Ovis aries: one gene and its partner. The protein of the gene in region 2 interacts with the protein of the main gene of each other region in a pairwise test. Links are inferred from orthologs where the notes say so. Each region holds a gene or a part of one and is shown on either strand. Other genes may lie near its edges.

Evidence for each region. The genes of interacting proteins can lie anywhere in the genome.
Region 1: the proteins of LDLRAP1 (region 2) and PSD4 interact in binary tests that used the Homo sapiens proteins (3 or more experiments, as listed by UniProt). The two-hybrid records come from large-scale screens. The link is inferred for Ovis aries from reciprocal best matches to the Homo sapiens genes LDLRAP1 and PSD4.

The regions. Positions count from the first base shown.
Region 1 is NC_056056.1:59,772,218-59,775,860, reverse strand, and holds part of PSD4 (PH and SEC7 domain-containing protein 4), read left to right. Parts: intron 1-1,634; coding exon 1,635-1,892; 3' UTR 1,893-3,643. UniProt on the Homo sapiens protein: Guanine nucleotide exchange factor for ARF6 and ARL14/ARF7. Through ARL14 activation, controls the movement of MHC class II-containing vesicles along the actin cytoskeleton in dendritic cells. Involved in membrane recycling.
Region 2 is NC_056055.1:241,243,374-241,247,707, reverse strand, and holds the start of LDLRAP1 (low density lipoprotein receptor adapter protein 1), read left to right. Parts: upstream 1-1,463; 5' UTR 1,464-1,515; coding exon 1,516-1,606; intron 1,607-4,334. UniProt on the Homo sapiens protein: Adapter protein (clathrin-associated sorting protein (CLASP)) required for efficient endocytosis of the LDL receptor (LDLR) in polarized cells such as hepatocytes and lymphocytes, but not in non-polarized cells (fibroblasts).

The DNA of each region.
Region 1 (3,643 bases), on a different chromosome or scaffold from region 2:
CAGGTCCCTTGCTTTGCAGAAAGATTCTTTACCATCTGAGCCACCTGGGAAGCCCAATTATTATATATATACACTATATATACGTGTATATGTGTGTGTGTGTGTGTGTATAATTTTCTTGGCCACACCTTTTGGCACATGGGAGCTTAGTTCCTGACCAGGGATCCAACCCATGACCCCCGCATTGGGAGTGCTGAGTCTTAACCACTGGACCGCCAGGGAAGTCTTGGAAAAACTATATTTTAACAGAATTATTTCCCCTCATACCTACCTAGTACTATTATAATAGTCAGTATTTCTGAAGCTTGTTGCATGGATTGTCTTATTTAGTCATCCAGCTGCTCTGGGGTAAGGACACTAATCCTCATTTTACAGATGAGGAAACTGAGGCACAGAGAGATTAAACTTGTTCACACCTGATATACTTTCATGAGGCCTGATCACATCCATGCCTCATTTATGGCCGTAACTAAGGAATGATCTTTATTAGCTCTCTGATTGATGCTGAAATATTTTCCTCACCCCACCCCCAATCCTGCCCCCAAATTCAGCAGGAGGGTGGGTGAGGGGCAGTGTGACAAGAGAGGAGGGCAGAGGCCACCCAGGGGCAAAGAGGGGAGAGGGGAGCAAGCGTCATTGTCACCTCCTGTCTGTGCCCACCAGCCATGCACTATCCTCTGCCTCCTTTTCTAGCTCTTCCTCTTGGGGCATTGGCTGTATCCATGGCCATGAGCATGCCACTTCCCCAGGGTCCCAGGGGTGGCTGATAGGATCCAGCCCTGCCTGCAGCACTCCAGCCATTCCCCACCGCTGACCAACCTTTCACTGGGACCTTTAGCAAGGCCTTGACCCTCCCTGGTGGGCTTACCTGGTAGCTCAGATGGTAAAGAACCTGCCAGCAATGCAGGAGAACCTGGGTTAAGTCCCTGGGGCAGAAAGATCGCCTGGAGAAAGAAATGACAGCCCACTCCAGTATTCTTGCCTGGAGAATCTTACGGACAGAGGAGCCTGGCGGGCTACAGTCCATGGGGTCACAGAGTCAGACACGACTGAGCGACTAACACTGACCCTCCCTCTTTATAAAGCACAGCGATGACTCCCACCCAGCCTCGCAGGGCGTGGATGAGGACCCAGTGGGTGGGAAAGCACTGAGTAAACTGGGAACTGTGTCTGAAGGATGCTAGTTACGGGGCCGAGCAGTGTTAAGCAGATGAGGGTAGTTAGCGCCATGCTCTCCAGATGCCAGTTGTTAAAATGCTGTTCAGACTCAATGAGGGCTGCGTACAGATGTGTGCTGTTCGAGTGCAGTGCTGCACAGATCTCTAGCCTAGTAGCTTATGGATCTTTTAGTGTCTTAGCGACGTAACATGCTCCAGAGATGTTAGTTACAGCACCAGGCAGTGTTGGCTGTATCGAACAGGGCCAGGCTGATGGGTGTAACTCTAAGACACCTGGGGAAGGACAGAATCTGCAGAGATCATTGTTCAAGTGAATGCTAGCTGTTGGCCCAGCCCTTTTTCTGAAGTCTCTATCCTTGTAGCATCAGTGTGATCTGTCTGTCCCTCACCATCCCAGCCCCCTCCTGACCTGGAACTGGGGTGTTGCTGAGGCAGTGGGACCCATATGTGTTCCAGAAAACCCGCTATGAGACCTACCTGCAGCTGCTTGTGGCCCGTCTGCACTGCCCGTCAGAAGACCTGGACCTGTGGGAGGAGCAGCTGGGGAGGGAAGCTGGAGGCCTGCAGGAGCCCAAGCCCAGCCTGAAGAAGTCCCACTCCAGCCCATCGCTGCACCAGGATGAGGCCCCCACCACGGCCAAGGTCAAGCGCAACATCTCAGAGCGCAGAACCTACCGGAAGATCATCCCCAAACGGAACCGCAATCAACTGTGAAGCTGGGATCACCTCACCAACTACCCTCAGTGGCCTGGGCCTGTGGTGGATTTGGGATGAAACTCTAGGAAGAGCCTTATGTCAGCGGGTCCGTGCTGAGGATGGGGCCCCGCCTCTTCCCCATGGAAGGATACCCTAGTGCGGTCCCCCCTTCCCTCCCTCACTCTCCACACTGGAGTTCTCCTGATACTGTTGCCCCCACCCTGGCTCCTCCCAAGAGAGGACAGAGGTCAAAGACTTGACTCAGCTCCCACAGTTCATCCCATTCCACCCTCCATCCCTCCAGAAGCCATAGAGGACACCTTTCCTGGACCTGGGGAGTTGCTCAGCCCTCTGTCTGAGTGTCAGAGGCTCTGCGAGCTCCCCCATCCTCGGGGACAGAGACCAGGGCAGCAGAGACCTCGGCACAGACAGGCTAGGAAGCTGTAGCACTGGGAGCGGTCTTGCTCTAGAAATCAGGTGACTTGCTGGAAGAGGTCCTGGGAGACCCCAGCTGGGCCCTGCCCACTGCAGGGAACAGCCTTCTGGGCAGGAGCAGAGACTCGGCAAGTTCAAGGGCTCAGTGAGGCTGGCTCTGGGGCCCCCTGCCTTTGTCTGGTCTTCCCTACATCCTGCACACATAGGGGGCAGATGAGAGAGGCCCAGCCTCCCATGGCCAACGGCTGATCATCAGAGTGAAACCCACGGTGGTCAGTGAGGGCCGGAAGGGGAGGGGGCGCCCAGAGTTCAGTGGAGAGCCCTGTAACAAGGGCCTTTGCCTCCCCAGAGCAGGAAAGGAGGTGTTCCAGGTTTGGGGAGGCTAAGGGTAAGAGGTGGTGACGCATGCCGTGTCCCCTGGGGGCTCTGGAGAGTTGTGAGGGGCGGTAAAGGCCTGGCTCTGTCCCCACACACTCCTCCCCTGGAAGCTCCACGACTCACTCAGGGACCCCTTCCCTCCCCCAGCTTGCTCCCAGGGGCCCTTGCCACCCCCCTGGGAAGGCCCCTTGTGCTCCCTTTGGCTGCGTCCCAGCTGGGCTGTTCTCCGGACACTCGAGGACCCGAGGCTCTGCCTGTGGGAAGGAGGCTGGGCTGCCAAGCAGCCACCATTGTCTCTGTTCAGCCAAGTGTGAGAGCCGGCTGCCTGCCAAAAGGGGCCTCTCGCCACCCGCCTGCTGGCTGACGCACGCACGGCCTCTCCAGCCTTCCTGCCGCCCTGCCTTCTCCTTCATGCTTGTAACAAACACTGGGGCCTGCAACTCCACCAGGTGGGGCTGGCACTTGAGGGTCACCAACAAGTGTCTATCTGTCGTACCCAATGGGTGCAAAATAAATACAGGCCAGTGAAGAAGGAGGTGTGTACCAGTGAGGGGGGTTGGGAGGAGCAGGCAGCTCTGGGCAGCTGAGGCCACCTTCTAGCACCTGCCTGAGGGTGGCAGGCTGGGTTCCCTTCGCCATGTGTGTGCATGTGTGTGTCTGTGTATGTGTGTGTGTGCATGTGCACGTCTGTGAATGTGTGTGCAGCACGCTAATCGTGTGCAGGACTCACACCGGCTGTTGCAGTGGGAGGGGACCTCAGAATCATTGATTCACCCACTCATGGTTCATTCTTTCATTTCTCCAATAATATTAAGTACCTTTATGGGCCAGTACTGTGAGATTGAGGCATGAATCAAGCATGTCCCTAGCCTCCAAGAGAGGACCATCCTGTTTTCTGGTGCCCAACTGGCAGTATAGAGTGGCACTGGAGACATTCCCATCCTACGCCCAGGAAT
Region 2 (4,334 bases):
TTCCTTCTCCAGGGGATCTTCCCAACCCAGGGATCAAACCCTGGTCTCCTGCATTGCAGGCAGATTCTTTACTGCCTGAGCCATCAGCGAAGCCCCAAGTCTAAAATCCAGACTCCCCTGGAAGTGCCTCCTCGAAAGGAGGGCAGGGTCTGGGTCACAGTTTGACAGATTGGAAGGGTCGCTAGACAGGATCTCATCTGACTTCCCAAGTAAAGACTAAGACCCAGACTGGGGAAGGAAATGCCTGAGGTCACACAGCAAGTCATTTTTAGAGCTGAGGCTCTTTTCCCCATACGTCACAGCATAACATCAAGACCACACCATATATGAGGCTACTTGGGGAGTAAGGTGGGCAGGGGGCAGCCCAGAGGGCCCAAGTGGAGCAAGGGAACAGGCTGAGTCTGTTGGGTGAGTCAAGTGTCCAACGAGTCTTGCTCAGGCCAACCTTATATTCCTGCCCTGGTCCCAGCAAAGTTCTACCACCAACAGCTCTCTTTCCAAGTTCCCCACCCCTTGCCCCCAGCTGCTGTGGTCATCACCTTTCTCTCAGACAAGCTTCCTGTCTCCTGCCCTCAGTCTCCCCATCTGTAAAATGGTCTCCAGGTACTTTTCAGTGGTCCTGAAATTCTAGGCCCGCGCCTCCCACGCCTTCTTACTTTGCCAACAAAGTTCCCTCTAGTCAAGGCTATGGTTTTTTCCAGTAGTCATGAATGGATGTGAGAGTTGGATATAAAGAAACCTGAGCGTGGAAGAACTGATACTTTTGAACTATGGTGTTGGAGAGGACTCTTGAGAGTCCCTTGGTCTGCAAGGAGATCCAACCAGTCCATCCTAAAGGAAATCAGTCCTGAATATCATTGGAAAGACTGATGCTGAAGCTGAAACTCCAATACTTTGGCCACCTGATGCCAAGAACTGACTCATTAAAAAAGACCCTGATGCTGGGAAAGATTGAAGGCAGGAGGAGAAGGGGACGACAGAGGATGAGATGGTTGGATGGCATCCAACCATCAATGGACATGAGTTTCAGTAGGCTCCGGGAGTTGGTGATGGACAGGGAGGCCTGGCGTGCTGCAGTCCATGGGGTCGCAAAGAGTCAGACACCACTGAGCGATTGAACTGACTGACTGACTGACTGACTGGCTCCCGCGGCGGAGCTGCGGCTCTCGGACTCTCAGCCCCCTACCAGGTGGGAAATAAGGGATTTGGGGAGAGAGACAGAGAGGAAGGGACAGGGCGTCCTCGGCTCGGCTCGCGGCCTCGGGGGCGCCCTTTGTCTAGACAGCCTTCGGGAGCTGGGCAGAGGCGGGGCGGGGCCAGAGGGGCGGCGGGGCGGGGCGGGCCCAGGGGCGGGGCCTGATCGGCCCTCGCCCCGCCCCATCGGACGTCGGCGCGGAGCTCGCGCGGGGAGGGGAGGAGCGCGGAGTCCGCGCGCCGCCTGGCCCCGGCGGAAAGTTTTCCCTGACGGAGTTTTTGGCTGCGGCGGAGGCGGCAGCGCGGCGGCCCGGGGAGGCCATGGACGCGCTCAAGTCCGCCGGGCGGGCGCTGATCCGGAGCCCCAGCCTAGCCAAGCAGAGCTGGGGGTGCGGCGGCGGCCGGCACCGGAGTGAGTGTGTGCGCGTCCGCCGGGGGCCCGGGCTGGGGCTCGCGGCGCACGGACCTCGCCTCCTGAGGGGCCCCGGAGTGGGGAGAGAGGCAGGGCCTGACCCCGCGCCCTGTGGCCCGGGAGCGACTTTCCCCGACCCTGCGTGGTTGAGGGTCTCCGAAGGTCACGTCCCCTCTCCAGCCCCCATTCTTTTCGGCGTGGAGGAGGGGCAGGAGCTGGGGGAAGAAACGGGAGCTCGGGGTCCCCAGGTGCGGGCTGCAGGTCGGAGGAGGCGCCTTGCGCGACCCGGGCACCTCCCCTCTTTGGACAGCCAGGGGAGGCGCGAGCTCGGCGTCTGTACCCGGGAGGTGTGGGGGGGAAGGGACGTGGGGCCGGGGGGGATTTGGGAAGACACCCCCACCCCGCGCCCCTGCATTCTGGCCCGCAGTCAGCGGCCGGCGGGCGCCCGCCTCGTCCGCTTCCCCCAGTCCAACCCACGAAGTCAGCTTTTAACTCCCTTGGGCGCCCGGAAACCGACTCAGGTGCGAGCCCGGGCTTCGCCGGTACCTGCTGGAAGTTGGGGGCGGGGCTCAACCTGGGGTCTCAGGAGGTGCCTCCCACCCGCCCCGTCTAGACCCCTCTTCTGGCGGGGTTCAGGTGGCCCGGCCGGCGTCCTGGCTATGTTGGAAACCTGTTTTTATTTCTCGCACTAAGCCGCTTGAGCTTCCGAAGTCCCTAGGCCCCCGGGCGAAAGGCAGACTCTGCCGCCGCCTCTCCCAAGGGGCGTCCGGGAGTCTGCGAGGAACCTCACTGGGCTCCCCCCTCCTCTCCCTGTCTCCAGTTACTCTCAGGGAACCAACCAGTCACCTGGCACCTTCCCCCGCGAGGCCTGAGAAACCCAGCCCAGGTCCCTCCTTTTTCAGGAGGAGTGGCTTGCCTGGGGTCACGCAGCGCTTTACTGGGAGAAACAGCCAAAGTCAGGACTGCTGCACTCTCCCGCCTCCCCTGCCGACAGCCTGGGACCCGGGCCTCTTCCGCACCAGGAAGCCCGCTCTCAGTACTCTCCACCCTCTTCGGTCTTGGCCTTCCAGGGCTCCACCAGGGGAGCCCGAGTTCCCTAGGCTCAGGAGAGGCCCCGGAGTGCCAGCGTGTCTGGGCCTAGGGAGTCTGCCCTGCCCCACCTCTTGCCCCATTCTGCGGTTCCAGCGGTGCCTGCCTCCTAAACCAAGAAAGACTAGCGTTGGGAACATGGGCTGGTGCCTGCTGGCGGGACTGGGGTCAGGCCATTAGGACTGGAGGAGGCCAGGGATGCACCCATCTCCCACATTTATGGACTCCCAAAATAGCTCCTTTAAATATTTGTGGGATTTGATCAGAACTTCAGAGGATGATGGCCCGTTCCAATGGGGAAACCCTGTCGTTTTCTCTAGGGATAAGGGAGGAGCAAGGACAGGGAAGGAAACTTAGGAACACCCCCTCTTTCTTCCCCCACTCAGTATGGGGAAAGGGGAGAAGTAGCCACCTTGGGTGGCAGAAAAGAGTTTCTCCTGCCTGTTCTGATCTTGGACAAGTCACTTGTCCTTTCTGATCCTCAGTTTTCTCATCTGCAAAATCAGGATAAAAACTCTAACCTGGCAGGGATGTGGTTTGTTAGTTTGCTTTTATTTTTTAATTATTTTTATTTATTTGGCTGCCTTGGGTCTGCTGCCAGGGGGCCTACTTTGTGGCATGTGAGATCTTTCCTTGCAGTGCAGCGGGCTTCTTTCTGGTTGTGGCTTGAGGGCTCCAGAGCGTGCCGGCTCAGTAGTTGTGGCACGTGGACTTAGTCTCCCCCACCTTCCCCCCGCATGCGGGAGTCTTTACCATCTGAGCCACAAAAATTTATTTTTGGCTGCGCTGGGTCTTCATTGCTGCGAGTGGGCTTTCTTTAGTTGCGGCAAGTAGGGGCTGCTCTTGCTCGTGGTGGCCAGGCTTCTCATGGCAGCGGCTGCTCTTGTTGCTGAGCACAGCCTTCCCTCGTTGCAGCTCTTGGCTCTGGAGCACGTGGCCTCAGTTTTGGTGCATGGGCTTAGTTGCCCTGCGGCATGTGGAATCTCCCTAGACCGGGGATCGAACCTGTGTCTCCTGCCTTGGCTGGCGGATTCCTATACACTGCACCACCAGGGAAGTCCAGAAGGTATAATAGATTCTTAACCACGGAACCACCAGGGAAGTCTCTCTGGCAGAGGTGTTGAGAAGGTTGTTGACAATAACATTTTCTTCTGGCACCTAACTGGTGGTTTCCTTCTGCCCCACTCCCCCTTCCCCTACTTGTCACGTGGGCCTTCACCGTGACTCTTAATGTAGTGGGACAAGTTTGTGGGGGGCTCAGAGCCTGTCTACAACTGCGTAGAAAAGGATAGGAGAGCCCTGTTCCTCTTAGGCAGACCCCAGTAAGCCAAGAGTACCGTCCTGGAGCCTTCTGGACCTAGAATGAGCTGGGGTGAATCCCCACCTGTCCCTGGTTAAGTCAGTTTTTTGATGTGTAAGTTGTCGATAATAGTAGTACCCAGTTCGGTGTTGTTGCTGTTGTTTGATGCAGGTTAACTGAAAGCATGTTTTCCTGGCAGAAAGAGTTCAATGAATGGCAACTACTGTTTTTGTCACTCTACCTTTTAGGTAGGGTTTTTCTTCCATTATCGTGTTTGCTCCTGTGAGGTGTCAGAGCAGGGATTCTTATCAGATTCATTTTTCAGATAAAGGAACCTGA